2 linked regions of the Kluyveromyces lactis genome follow. The protein of the gene in region 1 interacts with the protein of each later gene in a pairwise test. Links are inferred from orthologs where the notes say so. Each region holds a gene or a part of one and is shown on either strand. Other genes may lie near its edges.

The links. The genes of interacting proteins can lie anywhere in the genome.
Region 2: the proteins of MRS6 (region 1) and SFP1 interact in binary tests that used the Saccharomyces cerevisiae proteins (3 or more experiments, as listed by UniProt). The link is inferred for Kluyveromyces lactis from reciprocal best matches to the Saccharomyces cerevisiae genes MRS6 and SFP1.

What each region holds. Positions count from the first base shown.
Region 1 is NC_006040.1:529,807-541,957, reverse strand, and holds MRS6 (GTPase-activating protein MRS6), read left to right. Parts: upstream 1-6,485; coding exon 6,486-8,318; downstream 8,319-12,151. Other genes in the region: KLLA0_D06281g (TerD family protein), read right to left, coding at 1-1,927; KHA1 (Kha1p), read left to right, coding at 3,081-5,426; KLLA0_D06215g (uncharacterized protein), read right to left, coding at 8,814-9,524; KLLA0_D06193g (uncharacterized protein), read left to right, coding at 9,932-10,312; KLLA0_D06171g (uncharacterized protein), read left to right, coding at 10,640-12,151. UniProt on the Saccharomyces cerevisiae protein: Substrate-binding subunit (component A) of the Rab geranylgeranyltransferase (GGTase) complex. Binds unprenylated Rab proteins and presents the substrate peptide to the catalytic component B.
Region 2 is NC_006038.1:271,300-281,995, forward strand, and holds SFP1 (zinc-coordinating transcription factor SFP1), read right to left. Parts: upstream 6,045-10,696; coding exon 3,999-6,044; downstream 1-3,998. Other genes in the region: AHK1 (Ahk1p), read left to right, coding at 1-2,566; SEI1 (seipin), read right to left, coding at 2,765-3,463; tRNA dihydrouridine synthase DUS3, read left to right, coding at 7,211-9,208; YET3 (Yet3p), read right to left, coding at 9,365-10,099. UniProt on the Saccharomyces cerevisiae protein: Transcription factor that regulates ribosomal protein (RP) and ribosome biogenesis (Ribi) gene expression in response to nutrients and stress. Promotes RP gene expression under optimal growth conditions.

The DNA of each region.
Region 1 (12,151 bases):
TCTGCTCGACAGTTTTTGGCTCGAAATGTTCTCCACTAATATTGTCCCTAATCATGAAACCAGCTTTAGCTGTGAAAGTGTTAAATTTTTGACCAGTATAGGAATTAACTGTCACAGCAATATAGCGTGTTTCTGGGAATGCTTCCTTGATATCATCTAACTTAACGTCTATAAATTCAGCGGCACCATTCGTCGCATCAGTGAAATCTCCAGAGTGTGTGACGGCGCCATTAGCCAAATTGTAATACGCAATTTCTCCTTTGTTTTCGAAGTTATCTGATAACTGCAAACATGATAAGTCAACATCTACCCTTCCTTCGTGTGCTGCGCCTTGTGTTTCCTTTATATTCTCCCAGTATAAGAACAACCGAATTACCTTGGAGTTCTTATCAAATCGCATCTTGGACCCTCTGCCAAAAGTATGCAAAGCCTCTGATGCGTCCCGCAATCCTATTGGTGGTATGTAATCCTCTAATATTGGATCAATAAAGATATTGCCTAAAGGCTCTAATTTACTGAATCGTTCTATCAGTACAGAGTCGATGCCCTTATACAAATTTGAACAGAGTTCTGAGGAATAAGTCTGGCGCTCGTCTTCATCTTCTATAATGGCGTTGGTTGCAGAGCCTTTTGGCAAGAAAACACGTATGGGTGATATTTCATGACGATATTGAAAATGAGTGGAAAGATTCAGAAGTAGCGGTGTCGATACAGACGATGCAACATCCAAAAAGCTAATTACAATTTGAGCATGCTCTGTAGATGGATATGAACGCAGAAGGTGATCTAACCGACGAGCAAAGTCACCAGGCCTTGCTTTCAAAATATGTATAATTGATTCTAAACTGCTTTCCATGTTGCCTTCATTTTTAAGGTCCTTTCTTGCTCTTAAGGCTGTTTCAATTGTTCTATTGAAGGTTTTTATCGATTTTTGGTTTCCTCTAATTGTTTGGATCATTTTGGCTGCGTTTGGATATCTGCTAGCGTAAGCATTGACATGTAAATATTTAGCTAATACAAGCCAGAGGCCCAAAAATCTCAGTATATCCTCCATTGCCGTTTCACGATCCAATTTGTTTAACGCGAACAGTAAGAACTTTCTTTGAGAATTTGATATTTTGAAGCGCGTGTGCTTAGTCAAAGCCACATCTGATCCAGAGAACGAAGCTGCAAGACGTAAAACATCTGTAGCAGTCTTGATATGAGTGGAAAACAATTTCTGTAATTCCTCATCAAATGGACCAGATTTTGTAGCAGCGCAACCAATGATGTGCACAAGGTTTTCTTTGCTAGGAATAACTTCTGGTAAAGAAGATTTCCAATCGTTCCCAGTGGCTATCACTGAGTTGATGAATTCTTTGTCAGAGGCAGAAGTTGAAGTCTTCGAATTAGCGAGGTTTTCGAAAAGTTCTAAGACCACTCCTCGGCCGACTATATCCAATGTCGTCAATTCTTTGCCAGTGATTAATTCAGGACGCTTAATGGCCTCCTGTAACTCTAAATCGGGATACTGTCTACCAAACCATGATCCATTATACTCGGACGATGACCAATATCCATAAAAGTTGAAGAACAGCAAATGAGTCAGATCTCCTAAACTTTCGTAGACTGCCTCTACCAACAGACTTCTGTCAGGAATAGACTCAGGGAATTTGCGAAACAACGGTACATATTTTACGTCTGCACCTAAAGCTTCCTCCAGAACAGTCTTCGCCATGGACCTGAATTCTGTTAGTTCATTGACAGACAGTGTTCTCAAATAGTCCTGCGCATTTTCTGAAAATTGATAACCCAACTTATTTAACTCAGCAACAAAGGTGAATAGTATGTCATCAATGCTTTCGATTGGATCAGAGCTGCACAATTCTTTCTCACCATACAAGGCCTTTCTGTTAGATAGCAGCTTTCTCGATATGGCTATACTCATTGACTTAGACTTTCATTAAACTCTTGCTATCTTACCATCCTAGTATTTGTCTCGAGATTTGCATTCACCGAATCTTTGTAATTGGTCTGAGTGTAAAATCAGCTGTCAGAAAGATCAACTATTCCTATATTTTTGATTAACTGTATTTCAGAACCTAAAAGTAAACTTGTTCCATTGAATCCTTGAAGATTTAGGCGGACTATTTATACTTAATTCTAAACTTGTCACCATAAATAAACATCTTTTTTTTCCGCCTTTAAAACCAGCTGGAACCAAAACACATCATTCTTCCTTCAAGTGAGTCATAGTTGACTTGGATAGCCCACTGCACTAAGAATTATTCTAGCCTTTCACTTACTCTTTCATTTACCCCAAGGAATAATAAAATCTCGTAGGTAAGCAGTCTCTTCCAGCTGTGCGTTGTACTGTTCATAAAGATGACATTTCCCAAACTCACCATATTCATGAAAGGAAAGCTGATCCTTTGATATACAATTAGATGACGTACCCCGCGTAGTTTCTTGTTCTCTGTAAAGCAACATTAACAACCCAACCAAGATGTGTTTTCCTTAGCCGAAGTAGATCTTTTCATACCGCATTGAACGGCTGAGAATTCACTTTTCATTGGTTTCCTCTTTCGAGAAAATCAATACTTAGGAGCCTACCATTCAAATGTGTAAAATTTGCTTTCACTATTCGATGCAATATCAAAGCCACCCAAAGCTACGGCACATTTTCACATTTGCAATCCAAGGCATCTGGAAAGAAAGGCTACTGCCTTTCATGCTCATTATCATAGTTTCATTCTCACGTGTGAAATCATGACGGGGAAAATGACAGCCCCATCTTCTTGTTAAAACCAAGACAAAAATTATCATTTGAAATCTCGTACAGATTGGGATTTTGGAAAACCCTTTTTCATTTAACTTCAGAGAATATATAGGATGAGTAGAATCTTTTAACCTTACATTTTTTTATGATGAGGTACATATGCTAGATATTAGACAATATTGTTGTGAGTACTGCTAATCAATAAAATATCGATATTTCATTGAACCTTGACTTTACTGTATTGGATCAAGTGAGTTCTAATATCAGAAAAGGATTGTCAAAGGGAACGTATACCCACTTAATTCTTCGAATATAAACAGCGATGGCTAATACCGTGGGAGGTGTGCTTTCGGGGGTCAATCCTTTCATATATAACTCTGGTTCACCAATAACGTTTTTCCTTATTCAAGCAGCGTTAATTCTAGTACTTACGAATGTTTTGCATGTGTTTATTTCGAAACTTAGGCAACCGAAAGTTATCTCTGAGGTTATTGCAGGTATCATACTAGGGCCTACCGTGTTTGGACAGATCCCAAATTATCTCACAACCATTTTCCCTGCTGGCTCAGTGACTGGTTTGAACCTTGTAGCTAATTTGGGAATCATTTTGTTCATGTTTTTCTTGGGGATGGAAGTCGATATTAGCTTCGTGAAGAGAAATGCCAAGGCAGCTATCTCGATTGGATTGGCGACGTTAATTGTACCATTCGGGTTTGGGTGTTTGTTTGCATTACCCTTATATAATGCTTATATGGACGGACATGGTATTGAATTCAAAGTCTTTATGGTATTCATTGCCGTTTCTCTATCGATTACGGCTTTTCCAGTCTTGTGTCGTATTCTTACCGAGTTGAGATTGGTGAAAGAAAGAGTAGGTATCATTGTTTTGACTTCTGGTACCATCAATGACGTTGTAGGCTGGATTCTTCTAGCCTTGTGTATTATTCTTTCCAACTCTCAGTCAGACCCAGTGAATGTCGTGTACATTTTGTTATGCACTTTTGGCTGGTTCCTATTCTGTTGTTATCCAGTCAGACTTACATTGAAGTGGGGGTTCAATAGATTCCATGAATTTGAAAGGGATAGCCCTTCCACTTTTGCCACTCTATTGATTCTTGTGATTGTACTACTAAGTGCTTACTTTACAGATATTATTGGTGTTCATCCGATTTTTGGGGCTTTTATTGCAGGTATTATCGTTCCTAGAGAAAACAATTACGTGTCGAAATTAACGGCACGCATGGAAGATATACCCAACTTACTTATGATACCAATCTATTTCACTATTGCTGGTTTGAACGTTGATTTAACTCTTTTGAATAAAGGTTCTGATTGGGGATACATCTTTGCAAGTATTGGTATTGCCGTTGCAACGAAGGTTGTTTCTGGTGCTCTTTTATCTAAAATAAATGGATTATGCTGGAGAGAATCTTTGGCTGTTGGTGTCTTGATGTCATGTAAGGGTATTGTGGAAATTGTTGTCTTAACAACTGGTTTGAACGCTGGTATAATCACCAAGAAGGTTTATGCAATGTTCATTTTCATGGCACTTATTTCAACTTTTATAACCACCCCATTGACGTTGTGGATTTTCCCTGATCATTATCGTAATGAATTGAAAAGACAACGAACTGACGGTAGTACTTCAGAAATAGTACCCAACACGGTCGGCAAGACAAAGGACTTGAAACACATGCATTTCTCTACCGTTGAATTGGTGATTAATAATGCCAAAGCTGTTGCGTTGTCCTTATGGTTCATCAAAGCGTTTAGTTCTGGGCAGGAAGAATGGAAAGAAATGTTTACTTCTGATTCGGGAGATTTAGAGAAGAAACATTTGAAGAAAGTACTTTCGACAGATACAGAAGCACTAACAGTAGTTTCTGATGATGACGAATCCCCGTTATTGGTCAATGCTAGGAATTTGAAGTTGATGTCAGATAGAACTGCTGAAATTCTTGAACTGACCAGTTTATACAATAGCCTGACATCTGCAGATAATGGTCTTGAAATGTTACGTGTGTTCTCATCTTTGTTTGGATTGAAATTCAAGGGCGAGGTCATGTTCTCATCACTGGGAGAAAAGGTTGGCTATATTGGAAAGATTCCAGTTGCAAATAACACCACGCTCTTGATACCACTAAACTATCCTAACGGTGAACAAAGTGAGTCCATCTCAAGGATTTTGTCATTCAATGATTTACCTGAAGACTTCTTCAGTACGCTTTCTTCCAAAATATCTTCATCCCTCGTTCTTCTTTTCGGAACTGTTGTTCATCAACAACCCACATCAGTTCTTGTATATCTACTAAATTCAACTTTAACTGGTTCTGACTATATGGCCTTGTTCTTGGGATTAGTGATGGGATTACATGCCAAGACTATCAAAATTGTTACCGTTTCAGAGCATCTGGTTGCTCTTGGAGAACTGCAAGAGATTCTCAGATCCTCCATTCTGATAAAATTGGATATTACAACTATATCGACTAACGAAACTGATTCCGCAGTTGCGAGTGTTGATGTCTTCAATGACATCGAACTTAATAATAAGAGTTTGGTGGTATTACCACAAGATTCTATAAAGTCTACATGTTTAGACGATTATTCTAAAGTGCTTGTAACGAAAGCTTCTAAAAGTGGTTCTACGGTAGCCATCTGTCATAGGTGAACAACAACGAACCCTAAATGTTTAATGGTTCAGTAGTTCCCGATTACTACCCTGTTTATTCAATATTTCGTCTACTTATATAAGCATTTAATAACACCACTGAGCTGTGCTTTAGTATAGAGTTGGGCAATCCGTTATCAATTACCAGTAAATCCATGCATTAGAAACATTATATCTGTCCTGATTCTAGATTCTGGTTCCGAATCTGAGTTTCACAATTGAAAAAGGTGATTAACTCAAATTTGTATACAATAAGATAATATGACGCGACAGTATTATTATCACGTGCACATGCCAGCACTAAAAATGAAATATGTCGCACTGTCGCTGTAATTTTACCATAGTAAAGTTTTGTCTGAAAGCACAGCAAGTTTAAACGATCCCTGAATAAAAATACCCTGACACGTTTAGTTTCCACATCATTTTAAAGCGATATTTCATTTCAAGCTGGGGCTCTGATTGCTATTGTTTCCGGTATTGTTCTGTCGATAATAACGGGAAATGATTCACGAGTTTAAAAAAAAATTTCTCGTTGCCAGCCGTGAAGATAAAAAAAAAAAAAAAAAAAAAATTGAAAACACATACTCATTATCTGTGCGAATTAAATACAGTTTTTAAAGGCGTAACTAAGATACATATCCATTAAAGTTTCCACCTCAGAATACCACAGGTACGTGGTACAAATAAACTGTTATTATCGAAAAGCACCAACCTTTCTAAAGCTAGAACCTGGAATAAGAAGCAGATCGAAAGAGTGCTGTTTTTGTCATTCTTTGAGCGATATTGGCGGTTGAGAATTTTTTTTTGGTTCTTGCAAACCGCTCAAAATTAGGCTTTACAGAATTCCTAATAACATTACAGGAACCTGTGAATAATCTCATTACTAGTAAAATTCCAACCTCTGAACCGTATCAGGCTATTTTTGGAATTTCTAAGGTCGTTCATATCTGACTTTTTGTTCTCTCGCTTTTCCCTTAAAGAGACATAAGAACTGGTTATAGAATAAGCTATATTTAATCTAAAGTCTCGGTTAAACACTACAAGCGGAAAAAAATTAAAATGCTGAATGCCGAGCGCCGCCCTTCTATGGCGGAACGTCGTCCTTCCTTCTTTTCTCCCGGTCCTGACGGCTCCTTACAATCAACTTCCCTCGTTGTGCCACATTTGGCTGGTATCGAGGATCCTTTACCGGAAACTACACCGGAACAAGTGGATGTACTCATTGCTGGTACCGGGTTGATTGAAAGTATTCTATCTGCTTCTTTAGCATGGCAGGGATCCACCGTTTTGCATATAGATTCCAATAACTATTATGGGGACACATGGGCTACAATGACAATTGATCAGTTGAAGAATTGGACAAATCAAGTGAATGAAGACTCAGACGAAACACGGTTTTACAAAGATGCCAGACTCTATGTCTCCGGGTTGGTAGCTCAGGGGAAATTCAAATCCAAGAATTTTGGTATTGATTTAAGTCCCAAGATTCTATTTGCACAATCCGATCTACTCTCAGTTCTAATTAAATCAAGAGTACATCAGTATTTGGAGTTCCAATCGTTATCCAACTTCCATACCTTTGAGAATGATAACTTTGAAAGGTTAACGAACTCGAAACAAGAAATATTTACTGACCAAACTCTTCCATTGATGACGAAACGCAATTTAATGCGTTTCATTAAATTTGTGCTAGAATGGGAAAAAAGCACGGACATTTGGAAACCATACGCTGAACAGCCACTTGCTAGTTTCCTAGTCGATAAATTCAAGCTAGAAAAACCTCAAGTTTTTGAATTAATATTTTCAATTGGTATGTGTCGTAATCTGGATACTAAGACACCAGAAGGTTTAGCAAGGATCAGAAGATTTTTAACTAGTTTTGACGTTTACGGACCTTTCCCAGTCCTATATTCAAAGTATGGTGGGCCGGGAGAACTATCTCAAGGATTCTGCAGATCAGCAGCAGTGGCTGGTGCCACTTATAAACTCAATCATAAATTGGTATCATACGATCCGAACTCCCAGACTGCGGTTTTTGAAGACGGTTCAAGAGTAAGAGTCACAGAAAAGGTTGTCGCATCCCCTACCCAACATCCCCAGAATGGCGGTAACATTCCTCCCCAGAAGTACGAAGTGCATAGGCTCACTTGTGTTGTGGAAAAAGACTGCTCACAGTGGTTCAGTGAAGGAGAAAGTGCTGCTATGGTCGTGTTCCCACCTGATTCATTGAAGACAGGAAACGTTGAAGCCGTACAGGTGGTGATTTTAGGCTCAGGAGCCGAAGTTTGCGAACCAGGTACTTGCGTTTGGTACTTCTCAACCACTCAAGCCGGTCCTCGAGGTGATTTGGACCTTGATGCTGCACTTGAAGCAATGATCAATAGTATTTTAAGGGAGTCCTCGGATATACCCAATGAGGATGAACTTGTACAAATCAATTCAAATGGCGTTCCACTAGTCAACAGTGTAAAACTGGGACAGTCGTTCAAAGAACTCATTTCAAAAGAACGGGTAAACTTCATCATGAAATTGTACTATACTCAATACACATCCACTCCTCCATTTGATATTGTTACTCCAGACTTATTTGATTTGAATAAATCTAAAGAATTTATTCCTGGCGCATCAGATAATGGAATTCTTTATACTTCGTTGCCATCAGGAGAAGTGTCATATGATGAAGTTATTACTGCAGCAAAGTTCCTTTATGAAAAAATAGTAGGAAGTGATGACGATTTCTTCGACCTTGATTTTGAAAATGACGAACCAGATCTAAAAAATACCAATAAAACAATTAATAGCTACGATGAAAGTGCTATCGCAGATGATGAAGAAGATATTCAAATGATGGACTCAGAGCCAGTTGAATTTGCAGGCGAGATGGAAATATGACATAGCGTCAAGCTTCTTCAAGTTTTCAAGCGACAATGCTTTCAATTCCAATAGCATCAGTATTCCTTCTTTGACAGATTGATTGAAATAACCCGATGTGTCTAACCTTGTATTATATGGAATTATCTATCCACAAAAGAAAAAAGTGACATCTTCTAGATAAGATTTGCGTCACATAAGCATATTTTGGATCCAGCTGTATTTCTTACTGCGAATTGCACTCTTTGATATAAACATACCTTTATTCAACCCACTACCTGGGAATCTTAAAACGAAACGTTATTTAAGTTATCCATAGAAGGCAGATGCAGGAAAAATTCATACTTGTTTTCAGTTCCTGGAAATCAAAAATAGCAAAACCTTAATTAAGATTATACATGATATTAACCTAACTTCTCATACATAAAGTTAACAAAAGAATAGTGTTCGGCTTCTTAACTGCTCTTTGATTTAATTGTCATTCTCGAAAGCGAGGAAAAAACATTAAATTAAAGCTCAGAGGCGGCTTCTTATCTCCAGTAATGATTCTAATTGTTTCCCAGCTTGGTCGAAGTTATTTTTCGACAACCAGTTCTTAAAGGCAGTCCGAGCAACTGCCCATTCTTCGTCAATGATGGAAAACCAGCATGTGTCTCGAGTTCTTTGTTTGTAAATCATTGCATTTCGGAACGTACCCTCAAATTTAAATCCAAGTCTTTGAGCTGCGTTACCCGATGGTTTGTTTAAACTGTCACATTTCCACTCATATCTTCGATACCCTAAATCTTCGAAAACATAGTTCATTAGCAGATAGTGGGCTTCTGTGGATATCAACGTCCTTTGCATATCTTTTGAAAAGAGGACGAATCCTACTTCAATGACCCCATTATTGATGTCCGTCCTAATCAATGAAAACGTCCCAACAGCTTTTCCAGTCTTCTTGTTAATGATTGCGTAAGTCTTGGAAAGTGGTAGTTTGGCAAGACCTTCGAGATAACCTTTCAATTCACTGAACGTGCGACGGGGTTCAGAGGGAAGGTACGTCCAAATAGAGTCCGGAGAAGCATTATAAGCTTTAAAAAGATCCTCTGCATGTTTGTTAACATCAAGAGATTCGACTAGACAATGTTCACCATGGACCACAATATCCTCAGGAAGTTTTCTTACAGTCCAATCGTATATTGGTTTACCAACAGGCTGTTCAAATTGATTTAGTAGAACAGACATTGACAACTGACTATCTTCGACCCTTGTAAATGTCTTTCTAAGGTTAAAATAACTGTGTCTTCCTGTTTGTTGGTGTTAGAGTAGTATGACTAAATCCTTCGAGAATACTCTTCCTTTTAATTGAGAAGCAAAATGAATTTCCATTAGAGATTTGCGCAAGGCTCTGACATAACCTGATGATTGACCCGGTTTAATTGGTTTATATTCCTGATCAAGAGCAATAAATTACATGGACAAAGATGCCAATCCTCTCAGTGGAATAAAGTGCTTGTCATTGAGCAACCTCATCAAAGCATAAAGGAAATCGTTAATTAACCTAAAGGAACTGAGAAAAAAAGACACCAGCTAGTAAGTAACATTGTATAATATGTATAAAAACGTAGTGCATACAACCAATACGGACCAAAATGATATCCGACCCACGCTTTCAGTATGATAATGTTCTCTTTGTGGATGATGATGATACTTCGGAAACAGTCATTTTCAATATACGATCTTGGTACCTGACTCTTGTAGGTATACTTGTGAAATATGGTAGCCAATCGATCAGTGATGCGACTACGATGCTCGACAATTCATGGCTAATCAAGGGTTTCTGCTGTGAAACATACAAGCAGGTGTGTTTGTACAGTCATGAATACGAGTATTATTGGGCCATGCTTGTTTTGCATGGGGATTTGTTCTGGCGCAGGGGAATTAGTGGCGACTTGCCAACAGGATATGATCAGTGGGAGCAAGAATACATACGCGCTAACGGCCTTGCGGAATCAATATTTGAATTCAGTTAAGGCGTTTTCTCTATATAGATTGAGGGTAATACCCTCCTGCACATTTAGAGAATTGACATCGGAAGCTTGCTATCCGCATCGTTAGGGTACCTTCTTGTTCTTTGTTCTATTACAGAAGTTGAGAGAAGTTGAAGAAAGAAAAAATAAACTAGAGACTTAAGACTAAAAGATTAAAGAATCTCGTTTGAGTATTCTGGACATTATAAAAGATAGAGGGACAGGAGAAGAAGTAAGGAAGTAAGGTACTGGCATTTATAGAAAAATAGCTACCTCAATTAGATCCCTCATTCAGCAAAAAATTGCCCAACGATTTTGTGCTCGTCTATAATGAATGGTTTTGATATAGATAATAGTATGAAACAGTCCCAATTGGAAATGCCATATCCAAATGAGGGCGAAGGCGGGCAGCACCAAAATACCCATGAGTTTGCAACATCTTACGATGCTGAAGAGGATCCCAACGATGTTGACAACCATTCGATTAGTACCCATTTTTCATACCATGATGGGAAATCGTTATTGGAGCAAGGGATCAAAAAGTTAGCACTAGATCACTTGCACAGCAACAATGCTAGCGTCGACTCGAATCTCGGTATGAAATCACAATTTCCTTCGTATTTTGGTAATTCGCCATTGGACGCAGCTGCTTCAGTCGCTGCAGCCGGAATACCTCGCCATGAACGAAGACTTTCACTATCTGCACAACAAGCGGAACCAGAGGTATTGATATCTAGTCCAATGTCCCAAAAGCCATCATCATCATCATCTGCTCAGATCTTAGATGTAGAACGGATCAAATCAGCTCAATATAAGATGGGCCTAATTGCTGATGATGGTCAGCATTCCTACGATTCACCCTCTCTTGAATTGGTAGAGTTGTATTCAAGTGTCAGCGATTGCAGGGAACTGAGAGAGAAGTACCAAACCTTGTCATTACAAAAACACCATCAAAACCCGAAGAACAGACCTGATTGGAAAATTTATCCACCACCGCCAAAACCTTCCTATAATGCAGCAAATAAAACTGTTGTGAAGGTCAGTAATTTGCCAGACTCAAAATCTTTTGACATTAATGAATGCGAAATTCCTGGCTTAGATGAAGATGTGGACTTCAGACTCAATAGCGATGAAGTTTATGTTTTATATGATACTAAAACTGAGGACAAAAAACAGGCTGGAAACGTCTTTCCAACACTACGTGAATATTATATTGACATGGAAAAGATCATTTCTGTCTCCTCTGATGGTCCAGCAAAATCATTTGCTTTCAGAAGATTGCAATACCTTGAAGCTCGTTGGAATTTGTATTCGCTTCTAAACGAATATCATGAAACTGCTGTATCAAAAAAGAACCCTCATAGAGATTTCTACAATGTCAGAAAAGTAGATACTCACGTTCACCATTCGGCATGTATGAATCAAAAGCATTTGCTTCGTTTCATAAAGCATAAATTGCGCCATTCGAAAGATGAAAAGGTCATTTTTAGAGATGAAAAAATCTTGACATTAGAAGAGGTCTTCCAATCGTTGAAACTGTCAGGGTATGACCTTTCTATCGATACTTTGGATATGCATGCACACAAGGATACATTTCATAGGTTTGACAAATTCAATTTGAAATATAATCCTATTGGGGAATCTCGTTTACGTGAGATATTCCTAAAAACCGACAATTATATCGATGGTAAGTATCTCGCTGAAATAACAACGGAAGTCATTTCAGATTTGGAAAATTCAAAATATCAGAACTGCGAGTACAGAATCTCTATCTACGGAAGATCTCCTGACGAGTGGGATAAATTGGCTGCTTGGGTGGTTGATAACAAGCTTATCTCTCAC
Region 2 (10,696 bases), on another chromosome or scaffold:
GGACCTTTTAGAGGTAAGAAATACAGCTGCTCAAATGGCAAACACCAATACTGAGTCTACCATTCTACAGTTTCTAAAACGTTATACTGCACTATTAACACCGTTAATAGGTAAAATCATTGCATTTGCATTATGCTATTTGAATGATGAACTACACTATGACTTCGAAGTTGTGAAGTTCATTTCCAGAGGAAGATTTGACATAAAAAATATAGAAGGAGTGAGTTTACTACCTTGCAGAAGTAAGCAATTTGCTATTCTTGATGAAGGTGTACCTCAATCTAAGTATACACAGGACATCATAGAAGAGTTTGGTAATACTGAATATGGTGATGTTATGACACAAGAAACAAAAAAAGCTTTCCCCATCATGATCTCATACCTACAGAATCCTCAGGTTCTTACCACCTTCTTGTTTCATTATTGGTACATTATACTTAATATACATCATGAGTCAGGGCTAAAAAAATTGGAACCAGAGAATTTCCCCGGTTGTCCTATAATTTCTCATATTTGCTCAAATTCTTTGAAGGCAGACTTAGAAAGGCTTTCAAGGTTCATCAAGATCCAAGACAAACAAGACAAGCATGAGGCTGCACTTCTGAAAAATGCAACAACTTCGAATCCCAACCAAATTAATGTTGGTCGAGAGAAGATCATCAATTTTATCTTCACCAAGTTTCAAGTTGTCAGAATCATAGAATGCATCAGATCCTTAATAGGGTTCTTTCATAACACTTCTATGGATAAAAGTTTATTAATAAGCTTCTTTTCATACCAAGAAAAGCAGTTTTTAAACGCGTCTTCCGTTATATCAGCTTATGATTCATGGATGGCTAATATTATATTCAATATAATATTTCAGTTTTATACATTCCATTTTGACACACTCCCCAAATTTATCGAAGTTATGTCATGGAATGATTGGACTGATGGTATTTTTGGAACCTTGAAAACTTTCAATGTTGATTCTCAATTAGTCGGTTTGTTGTGTCTCTTCAATGTGTGGAGTGTCATCCCTGTCACTCATCGTAAACGGGTGGTTACTACTATTATCGACGAGTTATGGAATCTACTGTCTGTTGATACTGACTTCCACATCATAAGCATTCTTTTTCATAAATTACTCGTGTTCAAAATACTCCCGGATAAAGATCTTTCAACGGATCAGATTCATGCCATCAAACATAAATTCTATGCCATAAATAAAGAGGTTTGGCAAATTATTAACGTTTTGAACTGTGACTACACTGAATTAGTTGATGAGAAAACGGTATTATTTTTCCATACCAATAATAGGTTAATACTAGAGCGTCAAGAACCATTGTATGAAGAAGACCTCCTACTCGTAAGCCAGTGTATGCATGCAGAAGCAAATAACAAAAATGTCAACAACACCGCATTGTTCAATAATATGTCACGGATGACCAATATCCGGCCGGGTGTTGTTATTCATAGAGGGAAATATCCCTTTGACGTGTCTGATGAGCTAGTAAGCAGAGCAGCTATAATGATCGCTCAAAAAAACAAAAATAAAAGAGAGAATGGATCAATAAGAAACGATAGCTCTTCCAGCACATCAAGTCTCCACAGCAATGACACTGCAGAAAGTGAAAACTTGAAGCAGGAAAGTGGACCCAAATTTGGCTTTGGGGCTCTGTTGTCTAGTTTTTCGAAAAGTAAACCAGAACTACCTCCAAAGCCATCATCGGCAAGCAAAAGGAGGGATAGTGTAGCTTCAGGTAGCACAACAGATACCTTTGATACTCAAGAGATGATATCTATGTATAGCACCGTATCATCTGTTGCATCGACCTCATCAAGATCAGAATCTTCGGAGGACCTTTTGTACAAACTGTCACAGCAATCCCGATCTCATATCATAAACAATTCAGACACCGAAACTACTAAGAAACGGAAGCTTATGGCCCCACCTGAGTCAAAATTTAGCAAAGATATCGTACAGAAGCAACCCATCAGATATGTGTTCAAAACTGTAACGGTGAACTCTCAGGCCATACAAAGGAAGAACTTACTGGATAAAATCCAAGATTTCAATAAGAAGTGGGGAGTTAAAAGCACCAAACCCTATGATAAACCTTTACCGAATCCATTCGGCATCGCAAATGACACACTGCTAGATGGATTTGATTTTGACTCTCTAGCACCTACCATTGAGGAACTTCAGCAGTTGAATCTTGTTGAGGACTCTGTGACCAAGGTTTACGACAACGAAATCTCGAAGGAGAAAGAAAATACGATCCCACAAATAGAACTCAATCAGCTTTTCGAAGGTGACACATTCACGGGATCGTCTGATATCATGGATGAAAAAATAATCAACCAGCAAGACTATAACCCTGTTACGGCTGTTGAAAGGATGAAATTGATCACTAGACTGACCAAGTTGATAAAAGTAATATACACTTTCAATCTTACTATGAAGGAATTTGTCGAGTTTGAGAAGGTTAACGGAAACAACCTTATTTACATGGAGTTAGACCCTGGTTTTTACCAAAACCATTCTTTGAACAAGGGCCTACTAGCAATATCAAATTATAAGTAGAAACTTTTGTATATATGTGTTTCGTACTTTCCTAATTTTACTTTTTTAATGCATCAAGTCATTTGAACAATCAAAGTCAATAGAAACTCTATTATCATTAAAAATTCGCATTTTTCCAAATACAACAATTCAACAGAGTATGACTGTTTAACATCAGGATGAGATGTGAGTTAGAATAAAACTACTTGAGTGTCTGTTTTATGCCATTACAATATAGCTGAAGACACCAGTAAAAGATAATAGGAAGCAACTAGAAATCAAACTAGCAAATAATAAAGTGCCCAATAGATGACAAGTTCTTCTCCAGCTTAGTAAAAACTTTCGGAATCCGGTATATTTCACTGAAAATTGGACATTGATGTAACTTAAAAGGTAGTCCTCAGTATAGTCCTTTAAATCTATCCTGATCCTCTTGTTATCAGGATTTACAGGAAATCCAAACTTAAAGTCATTGATGACATCTTTCTTGACAGTTTTTGACACTGAATCGAACCCATTGAATCTTGAAGAGAGAAAATTCAAGTTATCAAAACATACAAGAGGTAACTTTCTGGGATTGTCATCTATTGATAAAGTCACGGCCTCAATTGGTCGGTGAGAAGTACAATAAATCCCCAAATTTAAGGTAACATCTAAAGGTATGTCTGATCGTATTTCATTCTCTTTAGTTGATGTAACATTGGCAATGACCCGCAAATCAAATGGAACTGTCCAAGAATTAGCCATGTTGCTCAAAGGTATAACATGCATTCTGTTGTTTGGAATCAACCTATTGATAAAATCTATCCATAAAAGATTCGATAATGGTAAAATGAAGATAATCTCAATGCATATAAGTATAAGCAAATAAGAAAACCATCTTGCTGCCTGAAGTGGAATGGATACGTTTATCTTCATTAATTTATAGCTTGCTATCGGGGAGTGACGCTTTTCAACTTCTTTGTTTTGCAACGGCAGCTGTTCACTTCATGCTTACATATATTCTTTACCTTAAAATACTAGCGAAAGCTTTAAATATAATCTTGATTTTTCCAACGCTCCAGAATCCTATTTAGTATACAAAACGACAGATAAATATATAGAGGTATGAAGTCCACTGAGTTTTAACGGACTGCAGCTTATAACGATAGAATACAACAGAAAGTAAGGAATACCTTTTGATGATGTATACTTGTATGTAATAAGACGGAATAAAACAAAATGAAAATGAAAATGAAGATGAAGGGGATTTACAACGGCCTTTAAATCAAAGGATCATATTATTCAAAAAAGGAAGCAACCTAAGAAAATCGAACGGAGAAACAAAAAACATGAAGACGAGAACAATTATCTGGTTACACATGCTGACAGAATTAGATAAGAGGCCATAAAGCACAAACATAGGCATTGGAATGACACATAATTAGAAAGAAACAATGCCGATGCTCTTCGATCAATGTGTGCTATGCCCTCTATGATATTTAAGACCATTCAAATTCTTATATCTCTTTCCACAGACTTCACAGCGGTAAGGTTTGTCATTTTCCATACCCATTCCATCAGGATAAGGTTCATTAGATTCTGGATCTATTATGCTGAAAGTGCCATCTGGGTTTTCATGTAATTTTTGGTTCTGATGACCATGCAGTTTGTGATACTTCAAACCATTTTGATTCTTGTACGTCTTGTCACATCCTATCACTGGACATTTGAACGGTTTATGCTCCTCGTGATCCATCACGTAAAGTCTTCTAGCTGGATCATCAATGTAACCCTGTTGTTTTCTACTGGACAAAACGTTATCTTCATCATCATGATCATCTTCATCATCTTCATCTTCATCGACAACTTCATCGTCATCATCATCATCTTCACCAATAACTACCCCGGATTCATGATCTCCAAGCAAACCTGAGTCACTATCCTGCCTTCCAATACCCTTCATTTTCATGTGGGAATTAGTCAACTTCTTGGATTTTTTTGAGAGTCCTAGTTGATTAGTATTTGTTAGCGGGACGTTGTGCGAAAGAGGATCAATCGAACCAAAGCCCATGACCCCTCCAAGAGAACTATCGTTTAATCCAGAAATAACCCCCGCTTCCATGTAATCAAGATCCAAACCAGATCCCAAAGGTAAAGACCGCTTGCTAGCTGGCTGGACCATTGTTTGATGAGATTTCGTAGAGTATGAGTTGAAATTAGAAACATTTCTAGATGATGATGGCTGGGAATGTTTCGATTGTAGAAACACTTCATTTGTCGAAACTGCATCCACGAAACCCCCATTCAAATGCAGTTGATTAGTGGAAGCGGATGATTGGCCAGACTGAGACAAAGAAGTCAGGTTTGAACTGGATGACGAGGTATTAATCTGTGAGCCCCGCGGTACTTTGCTTTGAGATTGACCAGATCCAGTTAAACCACTTCCCGATTGAAGTAGACGGTGATCAGACTTTCTTGGGTGCTGAGACCCGTTTATAGTGTTGTTATTGTTGCCGTTATTGTTATTGTTATCATTAATGTTATTGGTATTATTATTACTTTGATGTTGCTGCTGCATCCGTTGCTGCGATAATATAGCCTTCCGCTGCTGATAATTTACACCGTTAGAAGACAGATGTTCCTGTTGCATGGCATGATTATGATGGTCTGGTCCACTTCTCAGTTGGCCATGCATGTTATTTGACGCTAGCGAACCACTGGCGTGCTGATTTAGATGAGAATGCAAATGCGAATTAGAATGGCTGGAATTTGCGTTTGACATGGCTGCAGAGCTGGTGTTATTAGATTGAGAATGATGGTTACCGTTATTTGAAGAGGCATGAGCAGCTGATTGCAGATTGAAGTTCATATTGACTCCGACCATATTTGGGTTCATAGGGTGATGAACATGGCCATGGTTGTTATGGTGAGAGGGGAGACCGTTGCTATGGCTTCCTGGAGAAGTGGCAATATGAGCTTCTTCATAATGCCTTAAGAGGTCGTGCAAACTAGGAAGCAGTTGGCCACAGCAGCTATAATCCTTGCAGTATTGTTTCTCAAGATTGGGCAAATAAGCACCTGATGAACCAGGAGGAGAGGCAAATTTTGTAAGGTCCAAGGGGCTCTTACCACCACCAACATTCCCATTACCATGTTTTCCCAAGAAGTCATTCGAATTTTGTACGTTGATCGGATATGCTCTACCATGGCCGCTGCTGTTCCCATTAACGTTGATGTGGCCATTTATAGAAAGAGATCCATGATCCTTTCCGTACGACTGAGCATGGATCATAACTTCATCTCGTAGCCACGAACTGATCGTAAGCGACCCCCATGAAACACCACCTATTCCCTGAGAATGAGCAATAGAGTCTCTTCTTAACTTAGCCATCTGATGCGTATTCCCATTAGAACCCGCACTTCCACTGTTATCCACCATACTCTCACTAATAAATATCCCTGGTCCTGAACCAGTAGTATTACTGGCCGGAGCAGTTGTTGTAGCAGTCGTTTCCATCTCGCTGTTCCGTACAAGGAAAAAGAGAGTAAAATTAAAACTAGACTACGTAGCCTTCAGGAAAAAAAAAGAGAATAGTATAAAAAACCTTTAAGAAAGATTCCACACAGTTGCGTTACCAATCCTTATCCTATTTCTCCCAGCTTTATACTACAGATGAGCCGATGAAACTTCTATATTATACCGAATTCTCTCACCGTATCTTGAAATCTAAATTCAACTTTCTGACCGAGAAAATGAAATATTATAACAGACCTGTCCTGTCCCCAGAATGATCGTCTGTGTTCCGACCCGATAGCGTTCTCTGCCGTGCCTAGCTGGATAAATCAAACGCCTGAGACCGTATAATATCCGACCGAACTTATCGACTTCTTTCCTGATCCTACTTGTCTCAAGATTTCATATCAAATCATCACCATACATTATTCTCTATATTCCACTTTCACATATATATATCACAATATCACAATATCAAACCCAATTACATATATCCGCAGTGTTCAATTATAGTTTTGAACGACTTTTGGAATCCGTGCAGCGGGTTCTTCTATTGAAGTCAGCTGCTGGGGTCAGAAACAGGCGTAGCAGTACTGGTCTTATTCCTTTTTCGGAGAGGGGGCAGGCATAGAGAAGAGGAAGGGGAACGGACTGTTGTACGTACAAAGTGATATAAAATCACTCTGCACGGACAGTGTTGAGATAAATTCCGAGTTTCTGGCCTCCTGTCTTGACCCTTTTTCCCATGCTACGGTTTCTAGGGGGGAAAATTAGATCCTTTCTTTGGTAGTGGGAGCAAGGAAAGACAGGACAGAGGCCTTAGGCCAGTCCCTGTTTACCCGGACTTTATTGAGGCCAACAATGACGATTCACGTGACGGGCGACGCGTCACGTGAATCGTCATTGTTTGCTATGAATGCTTTTTTCAATGTGTCAAAAGAGATTCATGCCAGTAGCGATCGAATTTATACAGTTTATGTAATTCCCATCGCATCACTGGTGAGCTGTTTCCATCATTCTACGTGAAAATTGACAAAAAAAAAAGCGATGAAATTTATGCACAATATTTACAGGCCTATCTCATCGACAAGATGAGATGAATCGATAGAGATAAGTAATTCAAAGCATCCACTTCGCTAGTGCAATCAATAACCCCTGGTATACCTGATATGGATCCAAGTCAACCACAGGTCAAGAGACCAGCTAGTTCAGATGAACAGCCGTCGGCTAAGAAAACGGATACTGCCACTTCCAAAGGTATCGCTCATTTGAAACCAGAATTTATCTTGTTCAATGATCAAAATGGTAGTTCCAGGCCTATGGCAGGCGAGTATAACGACGAAGAAGAGTCCACGTCTTCTCGTCTTGAATCTCAACCGGCAAATCAAATAAAGGGTAAGAAACAAAACAGTAAGAAGAAAAGAGGTCAAAACAAGAACCGTGATAACAGACAAGTGAGAGAACAGCACGCTCTTTGTTCGAAATTTGTCACTAACGTCGATGCTACCTGTTCTTTTGATACTAAGTGTAGGTACGTGCATGATGTGAGAGAGTACTTGTCTAAGAAAGCCCCTGAGATTAAAACCGAGTTTTTCCCCATATGTCCAGTTTGGCAATCTTTGGGACATTGTCCCATGGGTTACAAATGTTGTTTCCTTTCCTCGCATTGTAATATGGAGACTCTGGAATTAAAAGATCTGTACGAGGTGGATGAGAGGAAAAAGCTTTATGAGGCTAACCATGAGATCAATCACATAGACGGTGAAAGGAAGTATGATCTAATTAAGAGAAGATTCTCATTCACGAAGAGCGATTATATATTAGAGATTATTGATGCCATGCAACAAGAGAATAGAGATTTAATGAACACTTCAAAGGGTTCTGAAACAACTACAGATGCTAATGCTGGTGAAGACGCTAATGATGAAAAGGTCTCATTTCAAGCAACTGAAAAACAAAACCAACTAACGGAGAAAAGAGAAAGACAACGTGAACTGTATTTGAAATATCACGATACCAGGTTTTTCGCACAGGAGAAGAGAAAGCTAGATTTGCATCATAAGAAGATCGTCTCTCCCTTGACTACCGTCGGTAACTTGCCTTACCGTCGTCTAATGCGGAAATTAGGAGCAGACGTGACTTATTCTGAAATGGCTTTGGCTGTTCCCTTGATTCAAGGTACAAATTCAGAATGGGCACTACCGAAGGCCCATTGCTCAGAGTTTCCTGGGTTTGGTGTTCAAATTGCATGTTCAAAAACTTGGCAAGCTGCAAAGGCTGCAGAAGCACTTGCTGCTAACGTCACTGGAGTTAGCGAAATAAATCTAAACAGTGGTTGCCCGATTGATCTTTTATACAGACAAGGTAGCGGAAGCGCATTACTAGATAATCCTGCCAGAATGATCCGTTGTTTGAATGGTATGAACTATGTTTCGAACGACATACCTGTCACCGTGAAGATCCGTACTGGTACTAGAGAAGGCCATCCAATTGCATTATCTATCACTAAGAGATTAGTGCTTGAAACGGACGTTGCAGCTATCACTTTGCATGGTAGAACCAGACAACAAAGATACACTAAATCTGCCGATTGGGACTATGTCGGAGAGGTAGCTAATGCGGTAAGGACATACGAAGCAGAAAGACAAGAGAACAAGAATCTAAGAGATGGCCAGAAGATTCAATTTGTTGGTAACGGTGATTGTAACAACTGGGAAGATTGGTACAAACATCTTGAAAATAAAAACATGGATAGTGTGATGGTTGCTCGTGGTGCACTAATTAAGCCATGGATCTTCGAAGAAGTCGATGCCCAGCAATACATGGATAAAAGTTCTAAGGAAAGATTGGAAATTTTGAAAGACTATTGTAAATTTGCAATGGATCATTGGGGTACTGACCAGTATGGTATCTCTCAATGTCGTAGATTCTTCTGTGAATTTATGTCATTCTTCCACAGATATGTTCCAATGGGTATTTGTGAAAGATACCCCGTTCTACTAAACGAAAGACCACCAAATTGGAAAGGCCGTGATGATCTAGAAACATTGTTAGGCTCCACTGACTCTAACGACTGGCTCAAATTATCCGAAATGTTCTTTGGTAAAGTGAACGATGAATTCGTTTTCACTCCAAAACATAAAAGTAATTCATTTGCAACTAACTAAGAACGTGAAATATTCGTCAGAACGTGCGGCGTCTATCCTGAAAGTTTGGTCTTCAACGTTCATTGAATCATAGACATGTAAATATTTTTCGCTTACTTATATATATATATACATATAGACGTAAGGTCATAAAAGGTCATATCCCATTCCCTGGTTTTACTCCATCTCTTTCTGTAAAGCAGAGGCCTGCTCCTTCAATCTTGTAATTTCCTCATCTACAGATTCAATTTCTTTTTCTAATGCCTTTTGTTGAGGAGCCAGTTTATCTTCCTCCGATTTCAAGATCAAATGATAATCCTCTTTTAGCTCGAATAACTCCCAGACAAGGTTAACGGTACGGCTCAATACAAATGTTAAGAACAAAGTAATGCCCGTTAAGTACATGTTCCTCTGCCAGAAGAACTTTCTTGATAAAATCTCCATTCTTCCTTGAGGATGAGTACCTGTACCTACTTCCTTTAGCTTATCCAATTCGCCCTCTACGCTGTAGACTTTATTTATAGAATCAACGAAAAGTAATAGAATGAATGCTAGTAAGCATTTGATTGTTATCTGAACCGTAGGAGAAAAGAAAGGTTTCGAAAGGGCAGAGATGACAGGTTTCTTAAACTTCGAGGGAAGTGGAAGACCTAACAAAGTCAATGTAATCAATTCCACGACTAAGATAGCAAATACTAGGCTATGATATAGCGACATTTCCAAATATCCTATAGTACGCGTGTTAATTTTGCAAGCCAAGCTGAGTCTTATGAAAATACTGTTAGCGTTGGGACTGAAAAGAGATGATTTAATTCCTGTCAGAGTTGTGTGATTGAAATACGAAGGGAACTGATGGCTGGACATTAAGGTAAAAATATATAATGTACAACAGACATTTTGGCAAAATGACATCAAAGCTTGCTTTCAACACAATAAGTTACCCGACAACGGAAGCAACCCTCCAAAATTTTGCGGTTTTGGCGTCCACAAAACAGGAATCTCCCCCAATCTTGATGAAGATTTTTGATTAACTAATCATATTGTGGTTCACGGGCGTTATTCGAGTCACTAACTTTTCCCTTTACTAATGCGCACACATAGAGTATCAGAATAACTTCGTCGAACGTGACTATACACCCATACATCACTATACTATCTGGCTGTATTTCTTCCCTGTGTTTGGTTGTAAACAGCTCTACATGGATTTTTTTTTTGTAACGCAACTACGAGATAAAAAAAAATGACCAAGCAAAAAGGATTAGCACCTCCTTCTAATACTCTTATTGCAAGGGGGAAAGAACAGTAAGCAGGAAATCACGAGAATGAACTAAACTGTAACTCCCTATTTCTTTGCCTGAAGCTGATCTGTTGCATCACGGAAAAGTAATGGATCTTCAATTACTCATTTACACCAGTTGCGCCTAGTACCACCACTATCAAGAGGACCCGTTCCGTTCTACTGTGAATATGACGATCATAACTGCTATCGTTAAAAACGATGTCAAGTTT